4 linked regions of the Saccharomyces cerevisiae S288C genome follow. The gene in region 1 interacts genetically with each later gene. Each region holds a gene or a part of one and is shown on either strand. Other genes may lie near its edges.

Region 1 (7,449 bases):
CTGCAACTTCTGGAAACTCGAGATACTACGCTAGACGAGATACCTATTAATTGTTTTCCTAAAAAATCAGGAACAGTTCCTGGCAGCTTTCGGCTCCTTCTTGTTCTGGAAAGGATCTTCAAATCCGCTTCCACGTAGCAGTCCTCGCTACGACTTCTTCTGAAGTATTTTGATTTTTGGCTGCATTTACCTTTTATTGCCGAAAATCTTATTTTCCAAGAAAAAAGCTTATTTTGCATTAAGTTTAAAAAATTTCTTCTTTCCCGTAGATTGACTTGCAGCGTCAAAATTCCGGAGGCCTCACGAGATTTTTTGACATCGGTTTTTGACATCTCTTTTTCCTTCCTTTTTCTTTCTTTTCCTGCGCACGCCGATAAAGAAGTAGTACAACAGACAACGTCAAAATGATCCTCTTGTGATGAAGCAAAAGAGGAAGAGTATACTCCTTTTCCGCTTGTACAAATATTTTTTTTGATAATAAAATTTGGCACTTCAGAGCTTATCGTATCTTCTCCCGGAGTTCCTCAAGACTTATACTTCAGCCCGTTTAGGAATGCATAAAAGCAAATAGGATTCGTTACAACTGCTGCAGGACTCTTTAGGACTGCATCAAGGTAAGCCTCGCTGCACCTAAACGCAAAATGTGGTTGTAACCTTTTTAATTTTTTTCTTGAACTTGTTGAGTCGTAATAAATCGTTTCTGGGAAGTGGAAGGTAATAATGTAATGGAATCGGCGTTACTCGCATGTGCAGATATCAGCGACAAAAAGTGTTGTAGGGACGTTTCGATACCAAAATTTCCTAAATACAGCGCAGGAACATCACTACGCTAAACAAATCGTAGCGCATACATCTGATCGAAAAAAGACAGTTCCCAAAACAATGACATATGAAGAGACCAGCATCAAAATTTTCATCATTAACAGCATGGCTAAAAGTTATTGTTTAATATACCCATACCTGATTGACGAACCAAGAAATGCCTTATCACTATTTATTTTTGGCACTCTTCACCTACCTGGCCACGTCCAATGTTGTTTCAGGAAGTACACAAGCATGCCTGCCAGTGGGCCCGAGGAAAAATGGGATGAATGTCAACTTTTATAAATACTCATTACTGGATTCAACAACGTATTCCTACCCGCAATATATGACTTCTGGATATGCCTCGAATTGGAATTAGGTTCCGTTGGCGGACAGACGGATTTCTCAATTGACTACGATCTTTCTTGTGTTATCTCTTCAGGAACTTTTAAATGTGCTCAATCAGATGCTTATGGAAACTGGGGATGCAGAGGTCATAGTGAATGTTCAAAATAGCCAAGAAAGACCTATTGGAGTACTGATTTACTTGGTTTCTTACTATCCCAAAAAACGCTACTCTAGAAATGACAGGTTACTTTTTACCACCACAAACAAGTTCTTACACGTTCAGGTTTGCTAAGGTCGATGACTCTGCAATTCTATCAGTCGGTGGTAACGTTGCGTTCGAATGTTGTGCACAAGAACAACCTCCAATTACATCGACGGATTTTACAATCAATGGTATTAAGCCATGGCAAGGAAGTTTGCCTGATAACATCGGAGGGACTGTCTACATGTATGCAGGCTACTATTATCCGCTGAAGGTTGTTTACTCCAATGCCGTTTCCTGGGGCACGCTTCCAATTAGCGTGGAATTGCCTGATGGTACTACTGTTAGTGATGACTTTGAAGGGTACGTTTACTCTTTTGACGATGATTTAAGTCAGTCAAATTGTACTATCCCTGATCCTTCAAAACATACTACTAGCATCGTCACAACTACTACCGAACTGTGGACTGGTACTTTTACTTCTACATCTACTGAAATGACCACCGTCACCGGTACTAATGGTCAACCAACTGACGAAACCGTTATTGTTGCCAAAGCTCCAACCACTGCCACCTCATCCAGTTTGTCATCATCTTCTTCAGAACAAATCACCAGCTCTATCACGTCTTAGCATCCAATTATTACTCCATTCTATCGCAGCAATGGAACTTCTGTAGTTTCTTCCTCAGTCATGTCTTCCTCGGTCATTTCTTCTTCTGCAACGACCTCCACTTCTATATTCTCTGAATCATCTAAATCATCCGTCATTCAAACCAGTAGTTCCACCTCTGGTTCTTCTGAGAGCGAAACAATCTTAGTGATTGCTGGCATGTCATTAGCGACAAGACGCTTATTACCGTAGTAGCCCCCCAAGGCAAACATCTCTTTATCAGTAATATCCAAAGCTGTTCAACTTCTCGAATTGGCCCAGGAAAAGAGCATTGGGGCGGCAACTAACTCTGGCATACTTACAGTTTCTGCTCTTGACAGCGCTAAAAAAGGGCTTGTTTTGTAATGCCCGGTTCGCAATTCTACAAGTACCACGCACTAGCTGCTAAAAGTGTCTAACCTTGCGAACAAATCTGGACTTTCTTATGAGAATCCCATCGTCAAGAAACAAAATTATACAGACAGGCGTAAATGTAGCTCGTAAGCGCCTGATCAAGTAAGCCAAATGCGCTAACTTGAGGAAATATAGCCATCTAAATCTCTGCAACATGCCAATTCGCACGTGACTTGAAACTATGGAAAGTGTCTAGAAGATTACCAAGAACCACGTTATTTGAGAGAGGATGGCAAGGTGACGACAATCACACCAAGACCACATTTTGGGTGCGCCTGGAAGCAAGACCTGAGAAACTGGGCCAAAATATTCAAACCAAGCATAAGATAGTTGGAGGTAGGAATACACTATCTAATCTGTGCTGATGAAATGCTGGCGAAAACGGGCGATGTAGTGGTACAGAAGGTGCCGGTTATCCGTTTGTCCGTTTTTCTTCATTTTTTTTTTGTTTTTCCCTTTTGTCTTTTGCACCGCTTATATATGGGTATGAAACAAGTTCAAGAATTTATAATGGAACCCAAAGGTTCAGTCTTTGTAGTTCGAGCGACATTGCGCGTTTCCTTAGAAAACGCTGGAAAGATATTCTTTAACGAGACGGAGTAATTCTCGTCAGGAATAGGATGTTGATTGATTTTTGCTGTAGTTATATAGCAGGGACCCACGGAAGAGAGCGAGCGCCTTCTTTCACAGGGACTTTTGTCAGCCACGTCTCCGGGGAAAACAATTGCCGTCCGCGTCGCAGTGAGATTACGCAGCCGTGCGCTTCAGGGACAGAAAAGAAGCATTTCGCGGCTACGGAGAAACCGTGCACTAACTCTCTCGAGGGTAGCCGCAAAGATTTCTTGTCTCTTCCATTAGGACATAGCTATCTTTTTCTTTTCTGTTTTTGGCGTATGATCTGTTCTGAGCCAAAGTTATAGATCATTGCTTGAATAAGCACCTCACAGAGTAGGGATTGTATAGAAAGTAGCTGAGCGTCTGCCCACGTAACAAACAATCTTGCCCCTTCCCCGCTCTTGTTTTCGCGTGCCTCTTCTACAATAATCTGGCCAGGCTGAATCGCGTTCTGCTGCTGCTGCTGCTATTGTTATTGTTGTTGTTGTTGTTTTGGCCAATTGCTTATGTGTTGGTCTGCAAATTAGCACCTCGTTCCCTGTTGGCAAACGCGCGCGTACAAGCCTTACAGGGCTTGAGAATGTTCTTCGTAGAAATGCATGCACAAAAATTCTGATCTAGCACACCATCGGTCTCTGTAGCTTCGGGCTCTATAGCTATGGGTTAGGAGTCCGTGAGTAGTAACAAGAAGAAGTATATAAAAAGCAGGTAAATCGTACTTCAATATGCTTCATTGTCACTGGATCGTCATATTCACTCTTGTTCTCATAATAGCAGTCCAAGTTTTCATCTTTGCAAGCTTTACTATTTCTTTCTTTTTATTGGTAAACTCTCGCCCATTACAAAAAAAAAAGAGATGTTCAATCGTTTTAACAAATTCCAAGCTGCTGTCGCTTTGGCCCTACTCTCTCGCGGCGCTCTCGGTGACTCTTACACCAATAGCACCTCCTCCGCAGACTTGAGTTCTATCACTTCCGTCTCGTCAGCTAGTGCAAGTGCCACCGCTTCCGACTCACTTTCTTCCAGTGACGGTACCGTTTATTTGCCATCCACAACAATTAGCGGTGATCTCACAGTTACTGGTAAAGTAATTGCAACCGAGGCCGTGGAAGTCGCTGCCGGTGGTAAGTTGACTTTACTTGACGGTGAAAAATACGTCTTCTCATCTGATCTAAAAGTTCACGGTGATTTGGTTGTCGAAAAGTCTGAAGCAAGCTACGAAGGTACCGCGTTCGACGTTTCTGGTGAGACTTTTGAAGTTTCCGGTAACTTCAGTGCTGAAGAAACTGGCGCTGTCTCCGCATCTATCTATTCATTCACACCTAGCTCGTTCAAGAGCAGCGGTGACATTTCTTTGAGTTTGTCAAAGGCCAAGAAGGGTGAAGTCACCTTTTCTCCATACTCTAACGCTGGTACCTTTTCTTTGTCAAATGCTATTCTCAACGGTGGTTCTGTTTCCGGTTTGTAACGTAGAGACGACGATGAAGGCTCTGTAAATAACGGTGAAATCAACCTAGACAATGGAAGTACCTATGTTATCGTTGAACCAGTTTCTGGAAACGGTACAATCAACATCGTCTCTGGTAACCTATACTTGCACTACCCTGACACCTTTACTGGCCAAACTGTTGTATTCAAGGGTGAAGGTGTTCTTGCCGTTGACCCAACCGAAACCAACGCCACTCCTATTCCTGTTGTTGGCTACACCGGTAAGAACCAAATTGCCATTACCGCCGACATCACTGCTCTTTCTTACGACGGTACTACTGGTGTCTTAACTGCAACCCAAGGTAACAGACAATTCTCTTTTGAAATTGGTACTGGATTCTCTAGTTCTGGCTTCAGTGTCTCCGAAGGAATCTTCGCAGGCGCCTACTCATATTACCTAAACTATGACGGTGTCATCGCTACAAGCGCCGCATCCACATCCGCATCCACTACCTCTGGTGTTGTCTCTACTGCCACTGGTTCAGTCACTTTATCCTCTAACGCTTCTACCACCGTCTCTTCTACGATCTCTTCTAGCGCCCCAGACTCAATAATTCCTTCATCTAGCGCCTCTATCTCTGGTGTCTCAAACTCCACTACAGCATCTGGTTCAATCGCTTCTACTGCTTCCACCGCTTCCACTACTTCTACTGCATCCGCTGCATCCGCCACCAGCTTCACCTCAGGTTCCGCTTCTGTCTACACTACTACATTAACTTACTTGAATGCCACAAGTACAGTCGTGGTTTCCTGTTCAGAAACAACCGACGCTAGCGGTAACATTTACACCATTACCACAACTGTCCCATGCTCATCTACCACTGCCACCATCACATCTTGTGACGAAAACGGATGCCATGTTCCAGCACCAACTGCTACCGACGCAACTGCAACCGTTTCCTCCAAGTCATACACCACTGTTACTGTTACTCACTGTGACAACAATGGCTGTAACACCAAGACTGTCACTTCTGAATGTTCTAAAGAAACTGCAGCAACCACCATTTCTCCAAAATCATACACTACTGTTACCGTTACTCACTGTGACGACAACGGCTGTAACACCAAGACTGTCACTTCCGAGGCTTCCAAACAAACATCATTGGCCACTAGCACAGTCACCAAGTCTGCTGCTCCAACTTCTCATACTGCTGCTTCCAGCACCTTCACTGGTATTGTCGTTCAATCCGAAGGTATGGCTGCTGGTTTGAGAACCAATGCTTTAAGTACTTTGGCAGGTATTTTCATCCTTGCTTTTTTTTAAAATGAGTGCGTAACCGTACTTTCCTAAAAATAACTAAGTAGAAAGTATTTTAATATATAAACGTCAGTGTAAACATTCAAGTGATTTTAACTTTACGCGGTTGAAGAATGCTGTGTTCGAACTATAAAGCGTCAGAAAAGATGGTTTAGCGAAGGCACCATTATGAAGATAGACACATTCTTCTTTTTTTTTTTTTTTTTTTTTTTTTTTTTTTTTTTTCATTTACTTTTATTTCGCGCGGTCGGTAAATTTTTCGTGGGTTTCTTTGAATCTATTAGCCGACATAAGAATAATGCATAAATAATATTTTTAATGTCTTCCTATGCCCAAAAGAAGAAGTCTTGAAGTTGCCGCACATGGAAATCACATGACCATGGCTTGGCCCTTCGTTTTAAATGCAACATGCAATATGGAATGTGTCATGAATACTATCAGCAGGAACAGAAAGCGTCGTTTTGTTTCTGCAAATGCTGTAGTTTTGGGCCGAAAATAGATGTAGTAGAATATATAGTGAAACGTGATGTACAAAAGAAAAAGGTAGTTTAAAAAAAATTAGATAACTTGGATTTTTACCCTGAATATTGCATGTGATTCGTAAAGAACTGAGTTACCTCAAACGGACCTCCCTTTTCATTTCGTATTCCGCGAATCATGAAGTCATGCAATTACCTCTGAAGAGCTGACTGTCCCAAAAGAAGCTATCGAATCTGTCCTTGATTTATTTAAGCCTTGCGTTTCGAGAAAGTGAAAACCAATTGAATACAAAATAAAAAAAAAGAAGAAAGAAATAGCAGGTCTAAGATATATAAGAAAGTTAATATCATTTTTGAACATTTTATTTTAGACGCCTTCAGCCGCGCGACGCCCGGAGTAATCATATGCCCATGACTTTACCAAAAGGCAACAGGGAGGAACATGCATTAATGTGAAGCATCACTGCTGCAATTCTCGGTGTTGCTAATAATTCATGGATCGAGAAAGAGACATAACATTTAGGCCAATTTTTTGAATAAATATGAACTCAGCTAAGACTCGACAATACAATTTTCTTATACTAAACGTAGATTTATAAAATAAACACAACTGTAAGGGCAATGCAACCGTAGATGCATATATCATTTATAGAAATTATATCCAACAGAAAGCTCAGACTTATATCCGGTTTAAGAGAGAAATTCTTGCTCATATTACCCCAAGACCAGGTGGCGTGTTGAAGTTTATAACATATAAGAACTACTACCTCATGAATTCTAGTGGATGAAAGAAGCAGCACGAACACCATTTCTACAGACAACGACACATGGAAAGGTTCACCATTCCCAAAGAAAACAACGATGGCCACAAGGGTGTGGTCCTCCATTCTCCTACTGTTGGAAGGAGATATTATCCGACCGACTGTTTTGTGATATGGCAAACTATTTTTTTAAATGAGCAAAATTACTTCTTTTGGCTGGAAATGTCATTAGAAAGTGCCCAAGTGACATTTAGCTAAACTCGGGTATTGTCTACAAGACCGGTGCTGTGACCGTTTCCAATACGGAAAGAAACGGTACTGGGAGCAGGAGTTGCTTTTACAGATATGAACAATGCCAATAGAGCCGCACATGTAATTACTGGTTCACACTCGTGGGGCCCACACGATTCCTGTGCAAAGTTTGACAAGAG
Region 2 (11,330 bases), on another chromosome or scaffold:
GAAATTCCTGTTAAAAATAGGGCCTCCGTGAATTTTTTAAGGAACCCTGATTTGCAACCTATCAAGTCTGTTAATCAAACGTGGGGGTTTTGGTCTAATTTTGCGTATTGGGGTGTTCTGTCCTTCAACGTTGGTATGTGGATAGGCGGTTCGTCTGCATTAACTGTTGGGTTAAGTTACTCAGAGACCATCGGTGCGTTTATTATTGCTGATTTGTTGACCATCCTGTTTGCTTTAGCCAACTCTTGTCCTGGCTATGACTGGAAGGTCGGCTTCACTCTAGCTCAAAGATTCGTCTTTGGGATTTACGGTTCAGCTCTTGGTATCATTATCAGAATATTGATGAGTATTGTCTATTATGGTTCCAACGCTTGGTTAGGTGGGCTTTGTGTAAACATGATATTAGATTCTTGGTCTCACCACTATTTGCATCTGCCCAATACTTTGTCCTCGAAAGTTGCCATGACCACCAAGGAATTGATCGGCTTCATTATCTTCCATATCCTTACCGCGTTCTGTTACTTTATGAAGCCATACCATATGAACTATATTTTAATTTGGTCGTGTGTTGGTACTTTCTTCGCCATGTTGGGTATGGTAATTTACTTAACTAAGAGCGCACATGGTGTTGGTGACTTGTTCACTTCTACTCATTCCACAGTTACTGGCTCTAAAAAGGCTTGGGCTTGGGTTTATACGATCTCGTACTGGTACGGTTCTGTTTCTCCAGGCTGTACCAATCAAAGTGACTTCTCCAGATTTGGTTCCTCTAATTGCGCTATCTGGACTGGTACTATAGTTGCTTTACTAATACCAGCAACCTTGATCCCAGTATTCGGTATCATTGGTGCTTCTGCTTGTGAAAAATTATACGGTCAAACATTTTGGATGCCTATGGACATCTTTGACAACTGGTTGACAACTAACTATTCTGCAGGCGCGCGTGCAGCTACATTCTTCTGTGGTTTTTGTTTTGTAATGTCTCAAATTTCATATACCATCTCCAACTGTGGGTTTGCCAGTGGTATGGATTTGGCTGGTTTATTACCGAAATATGTTGATATTAAGAGAGGTGCTATTTTTGCCGCATGCGTCTCCTGGGCCTGTTTGCCATGGAACTTTTACAACTCTTCTTCTACTTTCTTGACTGTTATGAGCTCTTTCGGTGTCGTAATGACACCTATTATCACTGTCATGATCTGTGATAATTTCCTCATCAGGAAGAGACAATACTCCGTTACCAATGCCTTTGTTCTAAAGGGTGAATACTATTTTACCAAGGGTGTCAACTGGAGAGCTATCGTTGCCTGGGTGTGTGGTATGGCTCCCGGTCTACCTGGTATCGCTTGGGAAGTCAATAATGACTATTTCCACAACACTGGTATTATAAATTTTTTCTATGGTGATTCTTTCTTCTCCTTTTTGATTTCCTTTTTCGTCTATTGGGGACTATGCCTCCTCTTCCCATTCAAAATTACTGTCAAACATGATGACAAAGATTACTACGGTGCGTTTACCGACGAAGAAGCAAGGAAGAAGGGCATGGTTCCATACAGTGAAATTTCTGAAGAAGAAATCCGTGCTTACACATTAGGCGAATGCTTCACAAGTGGACACGAATACAAACCTGAGAGCTCCGATGATGAACTACCTGAGTTGACAAAAACTAGTTCAGAAAACACAAAAGTGTTTGAAATTGTTCATCAGAAAGATAATGAAAAGGAATCCTCTACTTCCAGTGAAAAACAAATTGCCTAATGAGCAAAAAACCTAATAAAATGATCATACTTAGTGTTCATTCAAGATCTTTCGCTAGTATTAAAATTCGAGATAATTAAACACACTCTTTAGTCCCAGGAAACACTACTATTAAGCTTGTTGGTCGTACAGGATATAGAGGTCATTTCGATTATTTCATTCTTCCACTAATGTTTGATTGACGATTCAGATCACTGTTTTTGTTTGGCTGATAATTGTAACAAGAAAAAAAAACTACCGCTTCTTTTCAGTATTTCTGTTGAGGATGATATTTTCATTGATTCTCTTATCAGCTTCAGTGCCGATATCCTATCAGGCTCTAGTAGGGCTGAAAATTAGGTGGAGGCGATTTTGTTACTCTTTTGTTCAAGTCTGAGCTTATGACGTCCTGCGACATACTTTTCTTATTACGTACTTATGATAAGTACCGGTTGCCTATGAGAGGAAATCGAAAGTCATTAAATCAAAAAAAAAAAAATAACTTGCATTGCATTGTGCGATTAAAGAGCAAAACTTATTTGATAAGAAACCTTTTCTAGAGCATCTGCGCCACTTATTTGAGAGGTCAAGTCTTGTTAGTGAGAAAGCGCGTGAAGATAGAAATTATAAATTACCAATTTATTTTCAGTATAGCCTTAGAAAACACAAAGGCACATGGTTGTATAGATCTATATAATGCACTGACTGTACCTTGTTGTAAGGAAGTTAATAATAAGCAACCTGTTCGGGCTGAAAATCCAAAAGAAAAGTTGACGGTCTATTAGTGGAACAATGAATTTGAACTTTACATATAAGGGAATGTGTCTTTACTTTGATCTTACAGCGAAAATTACTGAAATCACAGTTTACGTATAAAGCACCCCCAATCCACGTGTGTTTTATACGCTTCTCTTTTATAGGAATATAAGATCAGCTTTGATTATTAATTAATACTGTCATTTAATTGCCAGTTATCATCAAACGGGATATTTTCATCGGTTCATTAATGTATGGTAGCTGTTGCGAGCGTATAATTATACTGGCGTTTGAAGATTACATATATGATGAGAAACAAAAATCAAATTTAGTAACAACTGTTAACGATGCAATAATGAGTTAAAGCAATTAACAGGAGGGGGAAGCAATTATGTTATTCGTGGCATTGTTGATAATCTTTTGTGGATTTCCAAATCCAGGAGACGAGCTTCTTATATTGTATGTTACTAATGGTATTTTCTTTTTCAAAAAGTAATTCAAACGATCATATCAAATTTCGCATATTTCTTATACTTAAAGTAGGGCCGATTTACGGCTTATTTTCTGTTCCATTAAATGCCAAGCTCGTAAGTGCCAACGAGTGAAGTTACTTAAGCCTACAAACTAGAAGCTTAGCCACCAATTATCAACATATACATATGTGTATCGCAATAATGCTTCAAAATTCACCAAGTTCTTCAAAGAGCGTTTAAACCAAATAAAAATCCTAACTCCCGACGCCCTAAACTATTCACTTCCTTTATCTTGCCTGGGTCCATGGCAGAATCGACCATTTCCTTCTTTCTCTTCTGTAATTCAGAAATACGATCCTCAACAGAGTCCTTTATAAACAATTTATGCACCTGGACTTTTTTTGTTTGACTAATTCTATAGCAACGGTCTTGAGCTTGTTCTTCGACGTAAGGATTCCAAAATGGATCAACTATAACTACATGGTTCGCACATGTCAATGTTAGTCCTGAGTTACCGGCTTTCATGGAAATCAGAAGTATCCTTTTCTCAGGGTCACGATAAAATTCGTTGATAACATCTGATCTTCTCTGAGCGTTCATTGATCCAATATATTTCAAGTAGGGAAAATTCAGTTTATTTTTGAGAAAATGTTCGAGAATCTCAAAAAATGTTGTAAACTGGGAAAAAATAATAATTTTTTCGGTTGCTGATTCATCAAAAACTCTTTGAATAACCTGTATACATTGCTCTATCTTCGTAGATGGTTCTAAACTCTCAAAATTTGGCACATATACATTTTTTTGCTGTATTTTTTGTTTCTCCATTTCACTTAAATACTCTGCATGCAAATCTTCCTCAGTAAATCCCTGGTTTATTACCTGGTCGTATAACTTGTGCGAAACAATATCTTTCTCGTTTGTCAAACGTTGACAATCTTTGCATGGGATAGCAAATGCCCCACCTTTGGTTTTCTTGGCCTGAGGTAGCATGGATGACTCTTCGATGAAGGGCTCGATACAAGTGTCGCAAATCAAATGACCACAACCTGTCAGAACGGACATCGCTTCTGGTTCTAATTGTTCCATGCACCAGAAACATGTCATAGAATTCATTGAAGTAATAACCTGAGCCTGCGCTTCTCCGCTCATGTGAGTGATTTTATAGTAGAGCCTGAGCCAGTCATCTTCAAAGCTTTTGCCGTTAGCTACCTTTGTACCTTCCGCTTTTTTTTCTCCCATCACAACTAATTCTGAATGACAACAAGCCTGCCTTAAGCGAAGTAGTAATGTGAGAACGCTAGAGTAGCTCCCCCTCGTAGAATTGTTCAACAATTTCTTAGCGAGTGCTTGATTTTTTGATTCCAAAGCTGTGTAAAATTTTAATTCCTCTCCCTTCAGGCGTGATTCATCTACTTCCACAATTTTAGGAGGGAGCTCCAGTAAAGGTTTGCCGTCGATCTTATCAGCCTTAGACCGACGAAGCATAATGGCATTTAGAAGGACTCTAACCTTTCTTAATGCGTTTTTTCTATCCTCGTTATCATATTGATATTGCTTATTTCTCTGAAAAAACCTTCCAATGTCTAATTTAAACCGTTGCTCCTTGTGGTAGGGTGGAATTCTTAGAAATCTTATCAAGGAATAAAGCTCATCCATACTATTTTGAATCGGCGTACCAGACAAGACCCACCTATACATTCCATTTATAGTACAGCACGCTTTAGAAGCCCTTGTATTTTTGTTCTTGATGTTTTGGCCTTCGTCCAGTAAAATTCTGTAAAACGTTGAATCATTGCAGAAAAATGGAGAGTAGTATTCATTTGAGGTTTTCAACCTATTAAGAGCTTGTATATGAGGCACAGCTGGTAGCTGATTTTGTTCACCATCCAGTTTTTTCGGCCAATGTTTCTTAAATTCGTTTGCTAGAGTTTGATAAGATACCAAAACAGCATCATATCTTGCCAAATCCCTCCAGTGCTTAACTTTTCCGTTACCTGATCCTCCAAAAATAAATGTAGTAAATTTTGCGCGTTTTTTTACTTTCGTTTCTAATTCACCTTTCCAAACTCTCAAGACTGAGACTGGTGCGACGATCAAATTGGTTTTACATTTGGATTCCTCTGAGCGATTTGCTAACATCAATGCAATAGCTTGAATCGTTTTACCCAGGCCCATATCGTCAGCAAGCAGACCCCCTTTTTTTGCGGAGTTTTCAACTTGTAACAACCAATGCAGACCCAGCCTCTGGTGTTTTAATAAGTTTACGGTCATATCCTCGGGAGTAAGTGCTTCGCCGTCTATAATGGATTCAGATTGTTTGACATTCTCTAAAAGAGCCCTAATCTGTTCTTGATCTTCTGCTGCATGCATATTAGAGATGTGAAATTCATCTTGCATCGATAGATCATTGGCTGTAGAACTAGTATCTTCGGTATTTTCCACGATGTTCCAGTTTGAAGGAGGTCGTTGATCTGCGTTTACCGGAAATAAATAGCTTTGCTGCAGTAATTCTTCACTTGTTATTGGAATCTTATATCTTCTCAAATTTTCATATAGTCTGTCCATCTTAAGTCCTTGTTGTCTTAGCCCAACAACAGCTTTTCCGACGCCTTCCCTTTTTAAAGGAGTAGGTGGAAATCCGGTGTCAATATCTTTACGAAATTCTTCAATTATATTCAAAAATCGAGTAATCTTTCGTTTAGCATCCTCTGATCTAGTAGACTTTGATATGAGATCGCGTGCAACTTCGATGCTTTTAAAATATTGGGCTCTTCTGTCAGGATTGACAATGGCTGGATTAGAAAACTTGATGCCGTAATCTTGTAATGTTTCAAAAACAATGGGCATCTTTACACCGTTGGTGAACAATATTTGGGCCGATTCATGTGCAACGTGTCTTCTGTTTATATCTATTAAGGATCTTCCGTCTTCAAAAAAGTTTTTATAAGAGACCAAGTTGTCCAAATGTCTATAAAGAATTCTCTTCGTCATTTCTGTCCTGGATGTGTTCTTGGCTAATAAATCTTTTGCAGTATCAATGGACTTAATAAATAAATCTCTTTTGGCGAGAGGTTGCCGTACTATTGGCAATACACTATTGATATCAGTTGTGCGTTGGTCCCCCAGTTTCAAGTCATTCAGTTTCTGCTGGATCTCCCCTGTTAACTGCTTGTAGGTACTGAAGCTTAGGGTTCCTTCTTTTAACATTTGGTCTAGCTTTTCTTTCTCAGCCAGGCATTCGTTTCTTTTATTTACGGTCGCAGAAGCTTTACTATCCCTGGCTGACCGCTCAAGGGCAGCCAAAGATTTCTGCAGGTTTATATTTTTCGAATGCACAAAGGACTTCCATTGTTCGTTATAATTATACATTTTCAAATTGATTGAATCTAGCTTCGATTTTGTCAACTGTCTTTTTTCCTTCAGTTTGTTTAATTGGTTCTCAGCTTCATCAACTAATATCTGCTGAGTTGAGCTGATAGTTCTTCCCCCTCTAGCCATCGATGTCAACAATAACTGCCAATGTTTTTCAGCATCAGAGACCTCCTTTTCTCTTCTACTTAGTTTCCTTCTTAAAATTTCAGAGTTTGTCTTGCAGCAACTGAGAGCATTACGTAGTTCAGACTCTCTAGAATTCAAATCCTTCAATAATTTTTGATGATTTTTTTTTAGAGTATCAAGTGAACTGTTACATTCGTGTTGAGAGGATTGAGTAGCTTGTTCTGTCATGATAGTTCCTTGAAGAACTGACGAACTCGAGGATTGTGCGTCTGTTTCTGATGTAGGAATTGAATTGCTGCCACTTGCTTCTTTTATTACTGAGTTATTCAAGTCAATATTGGGTAGGTCAAGTAAAGATATGACTTCTGGTACACTGCTCCTAAGCGCATCAGCTGTATTTGGTTCAGAAACTTTCAAAGGACTTTCTATATCATTGATACCGGCACCAGATTCGTCCTCATCTGAAAGAATAATAATCGAGCTATTTTTCTGTTCGGAATCATGTGAATTATGTGTTGTGTGGTCCATATTTTTTGAGGGCAATATCGGTCTTTTAAGTATCTTGTTATCTGCAAAATCTCCGCTATGCTTCCTTTTAATCTTACGACCAAAATCGCTAATATCGACAGGTTGTTCACTAAAGTGCTTGAATAGTTCACTTTGTTCTTGCTCAAGTAAGGCAACATTATTTTGAAGTCCTGGAAGACGAACGGTCGTCTTCCCCTCTACTTTGGCCGTCTCGTTTTTAAGGGAACTCTCAACAGAGCTTAGATTGGACGGTAATGCTGGCGTTCGCTTTTCATTTACGATGTTAGGTATAGTGTTTTTGGAGTTATTTTGAGTTTCAGAATCCTGGAAAGCACTAGATTCAATAGGTAAATCACGATAACTTGTTGTTGTGACTCCTTTTATTTGGTCTTTGTTTTCGCTCTTCAAACTGTTATCTTTTGTTTCTGGGTCGCTGAACTGTTGCTGTGACGGTTTGTTATTCAAGTTTAACTTCTCCTCTTGAAAATCCAAATTGCTGTCCTGGCAAGTATTAGGCTCGAAATCATCTTCAACGCCATCGTAGTCTTTGGAGACGTATGAGGAAGAAATGCCACAGATATTTTCCTTCACTTGCTCATCCTGATTTATTCTTTTACCTTCCTCTTTTTGTTTAAAACTATCGGATAACGGCACATCATCGTTTTCATAAAAAAGTTTTATCATCTCTGCGCTTGGGCTGCTCTCTTGTGTTTTCTTCTCATCGTTGGAAGATCCCATCGTTTCTTCCTTCAAGACTTGCTGCTGTTTTACTTCGTTGGAAGATTTTTCATTGTTGAAGGTACTGTCTGTGATTGTCTTGCTCTTTGAAAGAATAGTATCGAAGGTTTCATTATTTGATATGTTCGTCTTGAAAACATGGAATGCTTGACGTGCTGCATCGTCATTAGATTGGGCGACTTCCAAGCCTGCCATTCTTAATTTCCCATTTTCTTTCCTAATGTCTATCTTATCCACACTTGTTGAAGACGAAAAAGAATGGAATATGTCTTCATTATCTGAATCGGCTAGTGTAAGGTCGATGGTGGGTACTGCTGCCATTTGACAGATGTTTAACCTAAAGATATAGTCCAGCGTCTCCTTTCAAGCACTCAAAAGATAGATGTAAAAATCGGTATAGACGCCCTGTCCTGTTCTTTCATAAAACTGCGGAGAGGTTTGTATTTATTTATTGTTTTTCTTCCTCTCATATTCGTTACATAGTCTAAGTAAACTGTCCGGTAATATCGAGAGTGACCCGTGTCTCGTGCTTCTCTTCCGCCTCACGTAATATCAACAGGTAATCATCATGAGCTCCCCATTCATAGTTCAGATAAAAAGTGAAGTAGCGGTTGATGGAAGCACTTTTATTTGCATAATTATAAGATATAAAGTATTTTTTATTTGTATACCTCATCATGTTATATAAAGAGTTTTAGATGGCAATTTTTTCTCCAATAATAATCATCACATTCCCAAGACCTTAAATATATGCCACAAAATTTCAATGACATTGGTTAGGATATTTCCTATCGTTGATAGGTTGCGGAAAAATGTTGAGTTGAATCAATTTTTCAACATCCCATTCGATACTATTCTCTGTCTTGTAACACCACATTATCCATCCACCAGTCATTTCAAAAGCATCTAATTGAGCCTCGATAAACTTTCTAGTGTTCTGTTTTCTCTCTTCGGGCCACAAGGCAATATTCTCGTTGTTTGCACACGTATTTATGTAATGAGATTTTTCATTGTCTTTGGTCCAACTTCCATCATATCTGGCACCTAGACCAACCCCATTTAACCACTTTGTACAATCTGTTAAGGCCGCTGAAAATTCGCCTGCTACGGACCAATGCTTCTCGCTTACGGCATCTTTCCCCCATTGGCAGGCGATTTTGATACGTTCATTCATTTTTCTTGTTAATTCCACCTGCGAGAACACCTGATAATGATGATGGTCAATTATGACGCCATATTCGTTCTTTTCATCATTCAAAAACCCATCCCAATAATGGTAAGGTTGAAAAGCATCATGTATTACAATGATCTGGTTGCTATTAATTTTATTTCTCAAATAGTCATAAGCCGGCTTCAAAAGCAAATTTTTCAATCTTTCCATGTCAATAACTGGACCTAACGGTTCATTGAGCAATTCGATTCCAATAACGGTGTCCAGGTATACGTCTGTTGAGTATTTGCTTAAAATATACGTTAAAGCTTTCATGGTGGCGCTTAAATTTTCATCTTCCAGAAACTTATATGAATCCCTCAACCCTGAGTTATCAAATCCGTTTTGTGAACCAGCGGCTCCATGAAGATCAATCCATACTTTCAAACCATATTTCCTAGCCCAATCGATAGCCCGGTCTAGAAAATATTCCTGCTCGGCGGTAACATAGGGATCATGACTCAACGTTGTAAAGGCCCAATACCCAATAGGAATTCTAACCAAATTGAAGCCTTGAGAAGCAATTTTCGCGAAGTCTTCCTCTTTATAGAACGTCGACCAATGACTATAAAGGCGTTCCTTTGCCTTTTCATAGCCTAATTTTTCACAAAAATGGTATTCATCAACAGGAATACCGTCATCGTTGTACGGATTAGTACGGAAAGTCTCGAATAAAGAAGGTGTAATATACGGCTCCAATACTAGCCACCCACCCAAATTGACTCCATGAATTTTTTCATTGATGGCTTGATTGTTGATGGCAGAGTATATACTATCCTTTTCTTTATAAATAAACTGTATAGAGTCCCTATTTTTTGTGGAAACAGGATTACAGTTTACTAATTTGGTAAAAAGTAGTGTTAGTGTAGTCAGCCCTCTGAACGAAACCATTTACTTCTAAAGTTTATAAAGATTTTATGCGGAGCACCTCAGTCTTTCTTTCGAATCTTTGGATGGTCTGTTCGCAATTGAACAATTAAAAGAGAAGGGTAAAAAAAATAATGAATGTGAGGTTGTTCTACGCATGGAAGTTGCTACAAAAGGGGTGGCAACTGATGGAAAGACTTTTTACACAAAGATTGACAGCATTACTGACAAATTTCTAATGAACCAGACGCGCCGCTTCTTTTAGTGTCGTTTGGTAACCGCTTTTTCTTAAGCTGGCAGAGACCGCCAAAAATAAGAGAGTCGCTTGTAGTGGGACAAATAATGAACAGAGAGGCTTTTTGATACCAGTATCGTTGAGTTGGGAATGAAATGAAATATAACGATGCAATCGTCGCCATTCCTGTCAGAATATAATCGACGGTCATGTTATATAATTGTTTTATAAACGCCCACTTCTTGGCTGTATCTTTTATAATGTCCTTTTTTCCTGAAGAGGGTTTCCATCTAATTTTCTTTTACAGTCTGTAGCCTTACTTCTGGCCCTTTAACTAAATACATTTGATTTATATTGCATATTTACTCATACAATTGTATATTTGTTGTTCTTTTTTGGTCGGCTACCAGATTTAGTACTTAATGTAACCAATTTGTGAATTTCATAAATGACGTGCCAAACTAGAAAGTGTGGGGCCCTGAGAACAACTTTAAGCTGTTGACATTACCTTATGAGTCCAGTCCATCCTCTCCTTCTTTTTCAAGTTGTTTTACTTCAGGATCCTCATCTGCTGGTTCTTTTTTCCTTGTAGCTTTGTCATCTGATCCTTTAACGTCAGATGCAGTAAACTCGCTTCCCCTTTGACGTTCTTCTCTTACGTCTCTTCTTATCCAGCCGGTGAAATTTACCTTATAACCACTGAAGCTCTTGATCTCTATGGCTTTATTCTTGTAATCCCACGGAAGTACAGGTTTGCTATTATCTCTCGAATTGGCAGAGGGAGGGCTTGTATCCTCTATTTTAGGGTTATTGGCTAGTTGTTCTTGCGATTCTGATAAAACACTACTTTCTTGGGACATACCACAATTACTCGAGAAATTGGATTTATCTTCCGGCCAATATAAGTAAAGAATGTGTTGGCATTATAGTACATTTTGTTGATATCTTTAAAATTACTTGGATTATGAGAATGATTACCCGTCAACTGCTTGGTAAAGTTTTAACGTTCAAGAAAAGCTCTAGACGGCGTAACGCACCTTTTGTTATGAGCGTTAGAAAAATTAGTGACTAAGAGGATGAGATGATAAAATGCATATGATGTTGAATATGGAAAATAAAATGTTATATTCTTACTCAACGTAACCTGCCATTTGTAGGAGTTAAAAATTATGTAGTAGACTTAAATCTCTCCTTATTGTCCTAAATACTTGTAATTACATACACATATATATGTATAAATATTCGGGAAATTTTACAACTGTTGAGATTTCATAAAGATGATAATTTC
Region 3 (7,193 bases), on another chromosome or scaffold:
TTGAAACAATGATCCCAATACTGCTTTTTTTTTGACTAGGACTTGGATTTGGTTGCTGGTGCGTTAGAATTGTTGTCTGTCCTGTTATATTTATACCGGTGAATGAAATCATAATCCCAGCTCTGTCTTTACTTCTCATCGTCCTTTAACTTTGGAGGTGTTACTGTCGTACGTTCCTTCTAGGTTTTGCACGCACTATCTGAGGCGTTATAGGTTCAATTTGGTAATTAAAGATAGAGTTGTAAGATGGTGGATAAAAATAGGACGTTGCATGAATTATCTTCCAAAAATTTCAGCAGAACGCCGAATGGACTGATCTTTACCAATGATTTAAAGACAGTATATTCCATTTTTCTAATTTGTTTGGATTTGAAAGAGAAAAAACATAGTAGTGACACTAAGTCTTTCTTATTAACTGCATTCACTAAACATTTCCACTTCACTTTTACATATCAGGAAGCTATTAAAGCAATGGGACAATTGGAACTAAAAGTGGATATGAACACAACTTGTATTAACGTTTCATATAATATTAAACCTAGTTTGGCGCGCCACCTTCTTACATTATTTATGTCTTCTAAGCTACTACATACACCGCAGGACAGAACTCGTGGCGAGCCAAAAGAGAAAGTTCTTTTCCAACCAACACCTAAGGGAGTTGCTGTTTTACAAAAGTATGTTAGAGATATTGGGTTGAAAACAATGCCTGATATTCTTTTGTCATCGTTTAACTCCATGAAACTTTTCACTTTTGAGAGAAGCTCTGTCACGGATTCAATCATCCATAGTGATTATTTGATCCATATTCTTTTCATTAAAATGATGGGCGCTAAGCCAAATGTTTGGTCTCCAACAAACGCAGATGACCCATTACCTTGCCTATCTTCGTTGTTGGAATACACTAATAATGATGATACATTTACTTTTGAGAAATCTAAGCCAGAACAAGGATGGCAAGCTCAGATTGGAAACATCGATATAAATGACTTAGAAAGGGTATCGCCATTAGCTCATCGATTCTTTACAAATCCAGATTCTGAGTCGCACACGCAATACTACGTTTCGAATGCAGGTATTAGGTTGTTTGAAAATAAGACGTTTGGCACTTCCAAAAAAATCGTGATTAAGTACACCTTTACAACAAAGGCTATATGGCAGTGGATAATGGACTGTACTGATATTATGCATGTTAAAGAAGCGGTCTCGTTGGCAGCGTTATTTTTAAAAACGGGGTTGATTGTACCAGTTCTTTTACAACCATCACGCACTGACAAGAAAAAGTTTCAAATTAGCAGGTCCTCTTTTTTTACCTTGTCCAAGCGTGGTTGGGATTTGGTTTCTTGGACAGGTTGTAAGAGCAATAATATTAGAGCACCAAATGGTAGCACCATAGACCTAGATTTCACATTAAGGGGTCATATGACTGTTCGTGATGAAAAAAAGACATTGGATGATAGTGAAGGTTTTTCTCAAGACATGCTTATCTCTTCGAGTAATTTAAATAAACTGGACTATGTGCTAACTGATCCAGGTATGAGATATTTATTCAGGCGCCATTTAGAAAAGGAACTTTGTGTAGAAAATTTGGATGTCTTCATTGAGATTAAGAGGTTTTTGAAGAAAATGACAATTCTGAAAAAATTGATAGATTCTAAGCATTGTGATAAAAAATCTAATACCAGTACTTCAAAAAACAATATCGTAAAAACGATTGATTCAGCTTTAATGAAACAGGCCAATGAGTGCCTTGAAATGGCATATCACATTTATTCGTCCTATATCATGATAGGATCACCATATCAATTAAATATCCATCATAACTTGCGTCAGAATATTTCTGACATCATGTTGCACCCTCATTCTCCATTATCGGAACACTTTCCTACTAATCTATACGATCCATCACCTGCATCCGCGGAATCAGCAGCTTCATCAATTAGCTCAACGGAGGCTGACACGTTAGGTGAACCACCTGAAGTGAGTCTAAAACCTTCAAAAAATCTTTCAAATGAAAACTGTTCATTTAAGAAGCAAGGATTCAAACATCAGTTAAAGGAATATAAACCTGCCCCGTTAACTCTGGCAGAAACGCATTCGCCTAATGCATCAGTAGAAAATTCACATACAATTGTTCGTTATGGCATGGACAACACCCAAAATGATACCAAATCGGTTGAATCATTTCCAGCAACTTTGAAGGTCCTCAGGAAATTATATCCCCTCTTCGAGATCGTTAGCAATGAAATGTATAGACTGATGAATAACGATTCCTTTCAAAAATTTACCCAGTCAGACGTATACAAAGATGCTAGCGCTTTAATAGAAATCCAAGAAAAGTGCTAATTTCATTGAGAGTCTTACTCATCTTCAGGTACAATTGCACAAACAGTCCTTTTTTTTTTCTTTAGTTCTCCTAACCTAATATGTCTTGATACCCATAAGGACTGTAAATACTATTACGTATAAATTAAGCGGAGGTGTGATTTGTTATATCAACTATAATATGATTAAATAAAGCCATTTATTATCTAGTATAATTTCCAATCCTGAGATGTGACTAACGTGAGCGCTTACGAATCTTCGCATCATACACCTGTGGCCAAGGCTGGTTGGCGGTTTAAGTCCGTCTGAAAACTTTTTTTTACGTCATTTGAAGATCAAAAGTATTGAACATATACCTAATGACACAGTTTTTTACACTTTTTTTGAGTTAAATTATTCAAGGACAAAAAATAGTGTGCGTAAATGGAAGAAATATAAACGTATATAGAAAATCATTTACCTCTCCTGTAGCACCGCAGTCATTACATAACATTTTTTCGAGGGTAAGTAAACATTACGCAAAAAAAGAAAAGGACTTTAAACCTTGGGATTGAACGCAAATTCATTCATTAAAATATCAACATCCCTCCAAACCATATCAGATTCCCAGTTATCCCAACCTGCCATGATGGAATTGGGTGATTCTTTGATTGTAGTTGTAACGGGGTTTGATTGAACAATGGGATACGTTTCTAATAGAGAAGAGTTGGCTTGTGTCGCAGGTAGTGTGTTTTCTTGCATTTGTGTTATTGAAAGAGGCGGTTGATTTGCCGGATGTTCAGCATTCCTCCCTATTGGCAGAGGTTCATTGACAGCTTCAGTGTCCTTGATGTCTGTAGAAACACTGGAATCTAAATTTGCATGATTCAGTTGTTCCCTAGGTGACATTTTATTGAGGATTCCTCTATATGATATAGTGTTCGCTACTTGACTATTTGGGGTCGTTAATGAGCTTCCACTGCTGGTAGAGCCTGCATTTATTGGATTTGGGTCTAGCGGAATTGTTTCAATTATTTTTCTTGCTTTCTTTTCTGGATGCCTTACATTGGTGAATTTCCTTGTCCTTAGTTGCTGGCTATCCATATTTTCTGGAACTTTACTACTTAGTTCTTCTTCTTCTTCTTCTTCTTCTCCCTCCTCATCTTCATCTTCCTCTTCCTCTTCATCAACATTGTAAGCTGTAGAAACCTTGGTCTCTCTCTCCAATTTGGCCATACCACATTTCTCTTTTAGAATATATAAGCAGTCAAAAAAAACGTTTACTGACATCCTAGATTTTATGGTGATGCCTAAATTGAAATCATTATTTAGTCTACCTCCACCTTCCTTTTGGTCGTTTTTCCAGGCATCATACATATTAGCAAATAAACTCCATATGCTTCGCATTATTCCGGATGATCTGTACGCCATATCATATTTTAAAACTGAGGCATTAAACGTCAATGAAATTGCGTTGTTATAAGCTTTTTTGCCTGAGTTAACATCTAGCATTGAATGAAGTGATGAATGTATGAGTTTACTAATAATACAGGCAGATTGCCATATATTCAAGACAAACAAACCAGGAAAGTACTTAATAATGGTAGGATCATGTTCCCACATACTATTGGCATGTATAAGAAAGTTTACGGCGGCATTATAAACTTTCACCAATCCACGTTTCGTTTCAAAACTTGTATCGAGTTCCATAATGGAATATGATCCCTCATAAATATTACCATTTGATTTTCCAGCACTTTGGGAGGTAACATCAGTGAAGTAATAGGTTAATAAGTGAACCTTGGCCACTAGTAATAAAAATTTTCGGATATCATCTAGGTTATTTTCTTCAAGACTAATCTCCAATTGACTTAGTTGTTGATTAAGAACGTGTAACAAGGGCTGCTTCTCTTCCTGACTTACCATCCCAGTAACACTCGCCGGGGTGGAGTTCATTGTGTTTACGATTTGGTTCTCAAATCTAGCAATTTGAGCCATTTGTCTTAGTTCATTGGGTATATCTACTTGGCTTTTTGAATTTGGTACTCTAATAGAGCTGATTACTAAATAATCAAATGAAACATAAGCTGGGAAACCAAATGATGATGCAACTGTTTGAGATACAACATTGCAGCAAATCCAAGTTCGTATTTGCTCGTTAACTAATTCTGAATTTGCCGAAGCATACTCTTTTGAAAAACCTGCACAATTTAGTCCTACCCGAAGCGCTTGGAACATCGCTGTTCCTATGGTATTCCACGAAGTGTCGGCGCTTAATGAAGAGGTTAAGGGAGGCCAGAACGTGTATAAAAGAAATGCTTGCACGGAATATACAGATGCTACATTTAGAACGGGTTCGTCCTTATCTGATGGAGTATATCGAATTATTGGAGATATTGTGATTTCTGATAAAACTGACTTTACTAGCACTGATAATCGAGTCATTAAGTCTGTAGCCCCAAATTTCCGCCTTAAACCAATGAGCAGGATGACCCAGAATAAGCAAGGAGATAAGTGATAAATTCGCTCTGCTCCTTTCGAAAGGTCAACGACGGGTAAAAATTGATGATATTTTGTCGCAAATTCTTGAAACAGCTCAGCAATATCGCTGCTTGACAAATATACGTCGCCCAGGCTTTTTGGCAAGCACTTAAGTTGATCATCTGTCATAACGTTTGTTGAGTGAACAGGGTCGAAGTTTGTCGACGAGCTTAAGAGCGTTAAAGGAGAAGAATCCGTATGTCTTCTGTTGGTACTGTAAGAAATAGGTTCTCCTCGAAGTGTTTTGTATGATCTCGGTTCTATTTCTGTCGTCTCAAAAGCACTCTTCCTGAGTTGTTTTACTTTTTCTTTTGTGAAATTACTGTTATCCAAAACAATTTCCTGTTCCTCTTCAATTTTCTTCAAAATTTCATCCGAAGTTAAATTTGTCAAAGTTCTGGTGAGTTCCTTGAATCTTTTTTCAATGGCTTCGTTCCTTGCTCTTTTATAAGTTCTTCTGAAATCTCGTTTTAAAATGCATGGGACATTCTTTTTAGCACACTTAGTGCATGGCTCCGGTGCTCTTTCGTGAGCATCACATTTCGACTTCTGCTGACGACATTCCACACAGGCGAATTTCCTTTTCCTAGCATTCATCCCAGTTCTATTCCTAGTTTCACTATGGCTCATTTCACTTCCGGACTGTGAAGTCGCCACAAAATCTGATCTTCCTTCCATAATTGCAAAAAGAATTTGTATTAATGTTACGAAGCGATTTTTACTTGAGGCAGGTTGAAGGTTCCTCAAATTGCCGATAGCCCCTGAAACCTAGTTTTATGACCTTATATATCATGATACTCTTCTATTGTTGTGCTCATTACTTTTCATTTTTTGCTCTGAAAAACTTTGAAAAAGCGCAGTGCTAGGCGATAAATTAGGCGGCACCTCCGATCGAAGAGAGGTTTTACGCAGCGAGTCATTTTGATCAACTTCTTATTACATGCAGATGATTTAGAATAGCTAGACAATACAAAGATATAAAGTATCACCATGTAAACTACAAGAGTTATAATAATGCTGAGGTTTTACAGGGGGGCCCTTTGTTACTTGGTTGTGGCAGTTCATTGGCTTTGTTTGTTTTACGGTTGTGAGTCATATGGCTTTGTACCAGGTGACCGGCAGCAAGTGCGGAGCACAGAGACAGTTCACCAGCCAAGACAGCACACGCGATTATTCTAGCTAATTGCCTAGCATTTGCTCCAGGTTCAGTGGGGTGAGGACCACGAACGCCGAGAAGATCAAGCATGGCGCCCTGAGGCTCCAGAACAGTACCCCCGCCAATCGTACCAACTTCAATAGATGGCATGGAAACAGAGATCCTTAAATCACCATCAACTTCCTTCATCAAAGTTATACAGTTGGAACTTTCGACGTTCTGCGCAGGATCTTGGCCTAATGCCAAGAAAAGTGCAGTGACCAAATTAGCTGCGTGCGCGTTGAAACCACCAACAGATCCAGCCATTGCGGATCCAACCAAGTTCTTGGATATATTTAATTCAACTAAAGCGGAAACATCGCTCTTTAAAACACTTTTTACGACATCACCAGGAATAGTAGCTTCAGCTACGACACTTTTACCACGACCTTCAATCCAATTGATTGCGGCAGGTTTCTTATCAGTACAATAGTTACCAGATACGGAGACAACTTCCATATCTTCCCAACCATATTCTTCTACCATTTGTTTCAAAGAGTATTCGACACCTTTCGATATCATGTTCATACCCATTGCGTCACCGGTAGTTGTCCGAAATCTCATAAAAAGCAAATCGCCTGCTAGACAGGTTTGAATATGTTGCAAACGTGCAAACCTTGATGTAGAATTAAAAGCTTTTTTAATTGAATTTTGTCCCTCTTCCGAGTCTAACCATATCTTGCAGGCACCAGATCTTATTAAAGTAGGGAAACGAACGACTGGGCCTCTAGTCATACCATCTTTGGTTAAAACAGTTGTTGCACCACCACCAGCATTGATGGCTTTGCAACCACGCATAGCTGAAGCCACTAAACAACCTTCCGTGGTTGCCATTGGTATGTGATAAGATGTTCCATCAATAATTAATGGACCAATTACACCAACTGGTATTGGCATATAGCCGATGACATTTTCACAGCAAGCTCCAAAAACGCGATCATAATCATAATTTCTGAAGGGCAATTTTTCGGAAACTAAAATTGGCGATTCAGCCAAAGTTGAAAGTGCCTTTCTCCTAACTAAAACCGCACGAGTTGTGTCCTCTAATTTTTTCTCTAAGGAATATAATGGCAGTTTACCGTTGACGACAAGATTCGAAACCTCAGTATTATTCATGTTCTTTAATTGTTCTTTCTCCATAAGTTCCACTAAATTC
Region 4 (7,392 bases), on another chromosome or scaffold:
ATTTTAAAAATTAGCAATTCTAAAAACATTACTATTAGACATAAGGGGGTGATTTCTTTCTTGCACGATTCTATATGACAGTTTTGTATGGAAAATATAGCATTCATTTGTCTTCAGAGCTGCACAAGAGGTATATACGGCTGCCAATTTTATAGCGCTACATTGGAAAATTATCATAACATATCATTTCCAATATTTCTATTGCAGACCACCTTATTTAATCACTGTATCTCTTTAAACTGGTCTAAAGCTGTGTTTAATCGTATTAAGAGGCGAAAGTACATGATGGAACTGAAAAAGCACTGTTACAATTACCAGGTGAGTAGGATAGGAAATCGGAAAAAAAATGGGTGCTTCTTTCTAAAAATGGCCAACAACAGAGTTTTCTCAGTCAAAAATAGCCCAAGATTATTGCTCTTCTTTATATAAGATTGAATAAGCCATCACATAGATGCGTGCTTTGGTGACTTTTTTTTCCAGCTTTTATTTTAATACGTTCTTGCTTGTATACTATCCCACTTTATATATATTACCTAAACTTTATTATTTAAAGCTCATCATGGTGGTCATGGCCACCGTAACATTGATTATTAAAGCAGCATCCACTCTCAAATCCCTCTTTTTGGACAGCGCGTTTGGATCCACACCACTCTTCACAGCAAACATGACCATTCTTCTCTGTGCACGTTTTAATGCATGAATAGCCCTTTCCACCGCAATTGTGTGCAGATGAATAGCCGAGCGATTTACCGCAATCAGTACAACCTCCAGTCGAGATACGATACCTTGCGTTAAGACACCCTTTTCCTCTTTTTAGCATTTCTTGGTTGACTTGTTGGCGAAGAAAAGAAAAGTCGGCGTCAAGAATATTAATTTTGGTAACGTTTGTATCAAAGCCAATGGTAGTACCATTGAATTCAGTTATGATTAGATTGATAGTACCATTGGTTTGCTGTAAGTTTACTGAGTCGACAACAGAGCTAGCATACGCATGAATCTCGGTCTGATTACTGTCGAGGGTTCCAGCATGAACGCAAGATTATACCGTCGCCAACAAGCTCATTAATATCGTGACCATGTTTTTTGAATTCATCTTCATAATACAAAAGTAATCTCTTATTTTCTAGTGTCCTTTTGGTGATATGTAAAGTATAACAATATATCTTCTCTTCAAACTGTGAAGGATTTAGAAACTTTATAAAGACAAAGTCGGAGAAATTCTCTTCACAATATACTGTATCCAGCCACTGCCCTGATAAATCGAGTTCACAGTATTGCATATGTGCAGTGATTCCACAAATGGTATTGGTTTGGTCCCAAACTCGACAAAACAAAGAAACTAGCAGCGTATATATAGTACTTATTCTATGGGGCTATTCATTTAATATTTAATCTGTCTGACCTGGCATTCTGCAAACTGTCGGTAGGAAATTACGCGATCAATAAAATTCCTGTTGATGGGAGGGAGAAGACAAGCGAACTCTACGCTTTAAGCAGAGCTGGTGGAAAAACACCATAATAATCCGAGGCAGCAGTTACGCTAAATGGAAAGAAATCGTTAAAAATAAGGGGCAGGCAGGTGTGCTGCTGAAAAGGTAAATGAAAACCAGTGAGTACACTTCTGCATGGATTTTTTTGGCAACAAATCAACGAAAAAAATACTCACAGCTTCCGAATAAGACGGCTTTCCATCAGTATTATTAGAGAATTATGTGGCTGTAACCTTGCTGTTTTTACACTCGTTCCAAGTAAAAAATGCTCATCTTACCATTTTAGATAGAAAAAAAAAATCCTACCTGCCATTTCTAGTCAGCAGAATCTTTACAACATATTGCGAATTTTCTTCAATATTGGTTTATTTTAAGTGTTTGATAGAGTTTGGAGTTCAATAATTTACGCTTGATGCTTAAGTTATTTTTAGTAATGGCACGATAATTAATGCTGTTGTTACTCCCTTATATGATACTACGCGGTAAATCATCATTATACGGAAACCTTTAGATATAGTGCTGTCAACTGGAATTATTATATGGGAAATAACAATTTGTGCATTTTGCATTGAACAGCTCAGGAGAAGAATTAAGTGTAAATTTGGGAGTTTGCTTTCAAATCACCGCCCTGAAAGTGAAGCAACAATCTTGAAGCCTGCTGTATTGGAAGCATTGGAATATACGTCACTCCCTGAACATCTTGAATCTTTTTTTTATTGCTAGCTACAGCTTCAGTTAATTTTGTCACCTTAGACTACCAATTGTTTTATTTTGTATCTTTGGTATGATAATCTTATTCCGTCTCGTATTATACTTGTCCTGTTATGATCTCTCGAAGCAAGTTCTAAGAACTTGTGAGTTTTATAATACTCCTAGGTTTAGCCACTTTCCAAAGATAGAGCAATCTTTTTGGAATTGAAATGTCAGAGGGATGATTCTGACGATAGACATTTTTCTGATGAACTGTTGCGTACGCACGCATAAAAACAGTATAACTTTAGGTGGTAGCGGTAGTGTCGACTTTTATTGGAATGAGAATTAACTATCATATATCGACTAGTATCCATAGTACGTGTATATTATCGTATACAACGTAAGAAAGACATAAATATTGAGAAACAGTCAACGATTTTAGTAGAGGTTGAAACGCGAGGCTTGATAATTTCATGGGATAATGAATGACGGTATATAAAATGAAAGAAGATGTAATAATATTCATTATCATTCAAACTTTATCTCAGCCCATCCTCATCTTTTTCAGTACTGTATGTGAACTCGTCCACAAACACCGTATAGCTACGTCCTCTTTCATTTTCAGGTATGTATCAGCTTCTTGCATCACGCCACCACTAGCACAACGAAAGTATACAATACAATGTCATTAACCCTAGATGCTGTTGTTCCTCGATGTTGTGTATACATACATTAACTCGAAAGTGCGATGTTAATGATGTCCCAGTGCTATATAATAAATCTACAAACTAAAAAATCTTGATCACATCAACCAAAAATGTATCTTACTGCTAAATGTGTCATAAAAGGGTTCCAGTATCCTTACTACACCATTATATAGAAGACTCTTTATAATTTCTTCCGTCAGAATAATTACTTATCAATAGATTGTTTAACGTAGGAGGAGTTGGATGAGCGCAAGCATTTGTTGAGTTATTCGCAACTGGATGAACATAATGTCCTTCTTCATCATATACACGCATTACCAAATCCATTATATCTGTACAATAATCAGTCTCAGAATTATATGGCTCAGGTCCGTTATAAGTCGATAGATCTAGGTTACTGTACTCATAAGAATCTGTAATAGCCTCCAACTCAACTAAGGTATCCCTATAAATCAAAGATTGCTGATCGCCGGGTTCAAACCGTCCCGTTCTAAGTGTTCTACCACTTTTATCAGAATAAATATCATAGTAAGATGCTTGGAATAGCCAGCATATTTGATTGTTTGTCATATTAGTTGGCAAGTTGAAAAATACTTGGTAACCGCTGGTGATATCAACATATGCGGAGCATAATGAGTACAATTGAGAAAAAATGCAAAATAAACCAAATAAGGGAACCATTTTTTACTAAGCCTCTCTACCCTTTTAAAAATGGTTTTGACTTCAAACGCTTAGGAAGCAAACATGCTACTGCTATTTTTTGTCCAAAATTTTTATCCTTTATAGTTAATGTTTTTAGATATTGCGCGGATCCATTTAAAAGCAATTTTAGTTTGGTTACATAATGTTCAGACATGTATTTTAAAAGGTTAAGCGGCGTGCCTTAAAGCATTTTACTCCCGAGTTTGATTGACTCGCTTATGTTCATAGGTATATTAAACAAGAATTATGGAGAAAACAGTCTTTAACGTGTATTTTTAAATCTATATACATAAACCGTAGGACGCGGCATTCGACTGCTTTGATAAGAATTCAAAAGTTAGTGTCCGGAAATCTATTTTTAGTAAAAGTAATAATGTTATTTGTACAGAGTATTGCAGAAGTTCTCTTTTAGAGTGTTATGAATTCATGAAATCGAATCTATAGCTTGCAATATAATCAATGCCATAATACTACTGTTGAAATAGAGAATTTGGTGAATAATTGGATAATTGTTAGGATTTTCATTATTATTGAAGGCTATAATATTAGGTATGCAGGATATGCTAGAAGTTCTCCTCAGATATATAGCAATTCATGAAGGATCGTCGATTATTCTATAGAATAGTATTATTACTTCACTTTCCATTTTATATGTTGTGATTCATTATCTTATTACATTCCTAATTCTTGAGTGTCAGCTTTCACTAAATTTCATGGCTGTTTCTCTATCTTTATGTCGCCTTCACTTATTTCTACACTCCTCAAGATTAAGTATCTAATTTTTGTAGGAAAACGACACTGCAAAGAGTGGATCAATATATAATAACATGTTTTAAATAAACGTCTACTTATGATGGAAAACATTAACTTGTGAGTTAGGATTTTTTGTATATGAGATATTTTAAAGAAAATTTAGTTCCAAAGGAGAAAATGACTTGCACAAAAATGACATGGGCAAAATACCTAATATTAAATGAGCTCTATCTACAATCCGTGCAGCTATACATACTTTCACGCTTGTTATACATTAATCAGCGAACCATTATAAGTATGGGGCCACTAATATTTCATATATTCTCTGATCTGAGACTGTTGGAGTCGATTTCTCGCACAATCAGCACTGGTTAAAATTTCGTGGGGTTACTGCTTCTTTTAAGTCGGTCAATGTTTTCTTCATTCTTTCGAACTTTGAATATTTTTTATGACGTCAATTATAAGAAGTATGAAAGTCAGGTTAGCAACAGCTAAAACTAAATAATAAAGGGCTCAAGCAGGCTTACGGCAGGTGGTGATTATATTTACACTACTAATTTTTTTTAATTCGTTTACGCTCTAGTAAAAGTTCTTCGCAACATTTTTTTTTATATTTCTTTATAAAAACTACGGGAAATGACAGGTGCGAATAATCTCATTGATTTTTGTATTGTCAAGCCCATTTAAGACTATAATATTGCTGAAATAAACGTAACAAACGTATGGATATTCACTTAGTTAGAAAAGAAAAATAAAATAAAACTAATTCGAACTTTTTGTTGTTTTTTATTTCAGACAACAATATTATACTGTTACACGCCATTATTGATTACTACTTACATTAACAGTGATTATTTCAAAGAGAATTCTAGTTCAGGAAAGAGCTTAACACTATATTTGTATCGCTAGTACTCTCCAGCTCAATATCCAATTACACGACGGAGCCATGATTGTTGTTTGATTTTGAGCTTCTCTTTCTCTCGTTCTTCTGCGGAAAGACTTTGCTTCTTGTTTACAGTAAAGCCACGCAAGAAAAAACAGAGAACAGCATTGAAAGCCGCAAACGAAATGGACACAATTATCAATAAGCGTTGAATCTTCGAATAGGATTCTATCATCTGAACACGAACCTCTGATCCAATAGGGTATTTTTTTAGATAATTGAGTGGTGATTTGTAGATTGCCATCCCTAAACTAGAGCCGAGTCGCTGTATCAACTCCTTTGCCAGACGCTGAGTCCATATAGCACCAGCGATGGAAGCACCTACTGCGTCTCCGATTTGATAAACGGACATTAGTAACCCAGTGACAGTTGCCATCTCATTGTGGGTGGTTGAAGCGTGCACTAGCGTCCACATAGGAAAACGTATCATACCACCAGCTATACCGACCACAATCTCAGCGCCAATAAGACCCGAAATCCCGTCATATACCACCCTGTATTTGTACAAAAGACCCATTCCGATGACACCAAGAAGCGACCCAGCGACTACAAAGACTTTCGGATGAGGATAGAAATGCAGCATAATGCCGACAACAATATTAGTGCATGACTGTAGAAAATTGTAAAGCTGAGCTATCCGCTGCGCACTTAATGTTGATTCTCCGAATGCTACCATTAACACGGTGACCAAATACTCTAACTCAATCTGCAAACCTAGACGCCATACAAATTCCATTAGCAATGCAACGTAGATGGTTGGATCACCTAGATATACTCGTGGGATAAATGGATTCTTAGCAAATTTTAATTCCCAAATTAGAAAGATAAAACCTAAGCAGCCACCAACCACAATCATTGCAATAATGTGACCCTCTCTCCATTTGGAGGTGGCTCCACCAGCTATTGTGAGAGGTAATAATACTAAAACTAAGAAAGCAGTGAAAAGAATGACTCCAATTAAGTTTATGTCATCCGCAAATTTCCAGAGCGTTTGACGCAGGGTCTGTCCTTTTTCTTTCAATTTTAATGGTGGTAACTTACCGCTGCGCCAGGAAATGTACTGAGCATACACATAGGGAAGGACCAATATTAGGGTGGAGATGGGCACAATGATGCAAAAAATTCCATAGCCCCAACGCCATTTATATGGTGCAACATTACCAGCAACTGAGCTAACAATATTTCCACTTACCCATGTGTTTATAATCACGGGAATCAGAAATATGTTCATCGCAAATGTACGATCTCTCAATCCAGACAGATCACCAGTCAGTGCTGTAGCAAGAAGACGAAATCCAGAATAACCGAACTGTTGTATAACAATACCTGCAAAAAGTCCGGAAAACGTTGGAGTAGCAGCAGAAATAATTTCTCCAATAGTATAGAGCACAAGCGCAAAAATCCAGCATTCTATACGTCCAAACCGATCAGATATACGTGCGTATGGCACTGCGACAACAGAGGCTACTATTGATTTGACGGTATTGATCGATCCTACTTGAGAATGCTTTCCAAAACTGTTAGCGGCATAGGTTTGTATTGATTGCGAAATCTGCCCTCCGAGTCCAGTACAGTAACCCTGCAAAAACAGAGCCACCAGTAGGGCGGTCTTGAGTGAACTAAACGTAACTCCAAAAGCTGTGAAAGAGCTGTAGTCAGACAAGACCTTGTTGACAGCGTCTATACGGCGCAAGCCAGACGTGGTAGACTTCTCAACATTGCTATCTGTCTTTTCGCTGTAGCAGACAGTGCTTTTATCGTCTAAATTGTCATTCCTAGAGTGATCAGTTTCCAGCATTTTCAGAGAGACATTCACGAGCACTTTTTTGCTATATTAGAGTTCTGCTAGGACCCAAACCATCATTTCAATTAAATAAGTCATCTCTATTATCCAAACATAGACCCTTCGCCACTCAAAAGCCACAGAGGGGTGCAATTGTAAGCCGTGGCAGCCTCTATAATAGTATACATTTGTATCACATTTGGGTGCAATAATTTAAACAGATTTTTGCAGTTGACTCAGGACTAAGGGCAATTCTTGCCCAAACTACGGAACCCTGTTTCTGATCCGAAGGGCTTATAATCCATAGAAACCCTTACATTT

Evidence for each region.
Region 2: mutations in YAR066W (region 1) and ULS1 together harm fitness more than expected from each alone (negative genetic interaction), as found in Saccharomyces cerevisiae (one large-scale study listed by BioGRID).
Region 3: mutations in YAR066W (region 1) and LEU3 together harm fitness more than expected from each alone (negative genetic interaction), as found in Saccharomyces cerevisiae (one large-scale study listed by BioGRID).
Region 4: mutations in YAR066W (region 1) and CSS3 together harm fitness more than expected from each alone (negative genetic interaction), as found in Saccharomyces cerevisiae (one large-scale study listed by BioGRID).

The regions. Positions count from the first base shown.
Region 1 is NC_001133.9:217,161-224,609, forward strand, and holds YAR066W (uncharacterized protein), read left to right. Parts: upstream 1-3,888; coding exon 3,889-4,500; downstream 4,501-7,449. Other genes in the region: YAR064W (uncharacterized protein), read left to right, coding at 3,038-3,337; YAR068W (uncharacterized protein), read left to right, coding at 5,246-5,731.
Region 2 is NC_001147.6:689,196-700,525, reverse strand, and holds ULS1 (translocase ULS1), read right to left. Parts: upstream 8,052-11,330; coding exon 3,192-8,051; downstream 1-3,191. Other genes in the region: THI72 (thiamine transporter), read left to right, coding at 1-1,758; SPR1 (glucan 1,3-beta-glucosidase), read right to left, coding at 8,494-9,831; IES4 (Ies4p), read right to left, coding at 10,552-10,902. UniProt on the Saccharomyces cerevisiae protein: ATP-dependent helicase involved mating type switching and in silencing interference through its interaction with the silencing regulator SIR4. Cooperates with UBC4 and UBC5 to mediate ubiquitination of SUMO conjugates.
Region 3 is NC_001144.5:1,034,420-1,041,612, reverse strand, and holds LEU3 (leucine-responsive transcriptional regulator LEU3), read right to left. Parts: upstream 5,521-7,193; coding exon 2,860-5,520; downstream 1-2,859. Other genes in the region: GTPase-activating protein SST2, read left to right, coding at 247-2,343; hydroxymethylglutaryl-CoA reductase (NADPH) HMG2, read right to left, coding at 5,849-7,193. UniProt on the Saccharomyces cerevisiae protein: Factor for control of RNA levels of a group of leucine-specific genes.
Region 4 is NC_001147.6:14,226-21,617, forward strand, and holds CSS3 (Css3p), read right to left. Parts: upstream 3,572-7,392; coding exon 3,056-3,571; downstream 1-3,055. Other genes in the region: YOL160W (uncharacterized protein), read left to right, coding at 88-429; YOL159C-A (uncharacterized protein), read right to left, coding at 1,008-1,280; ENB1 (Enb1p), read right to left, coding at 5,266-7,086.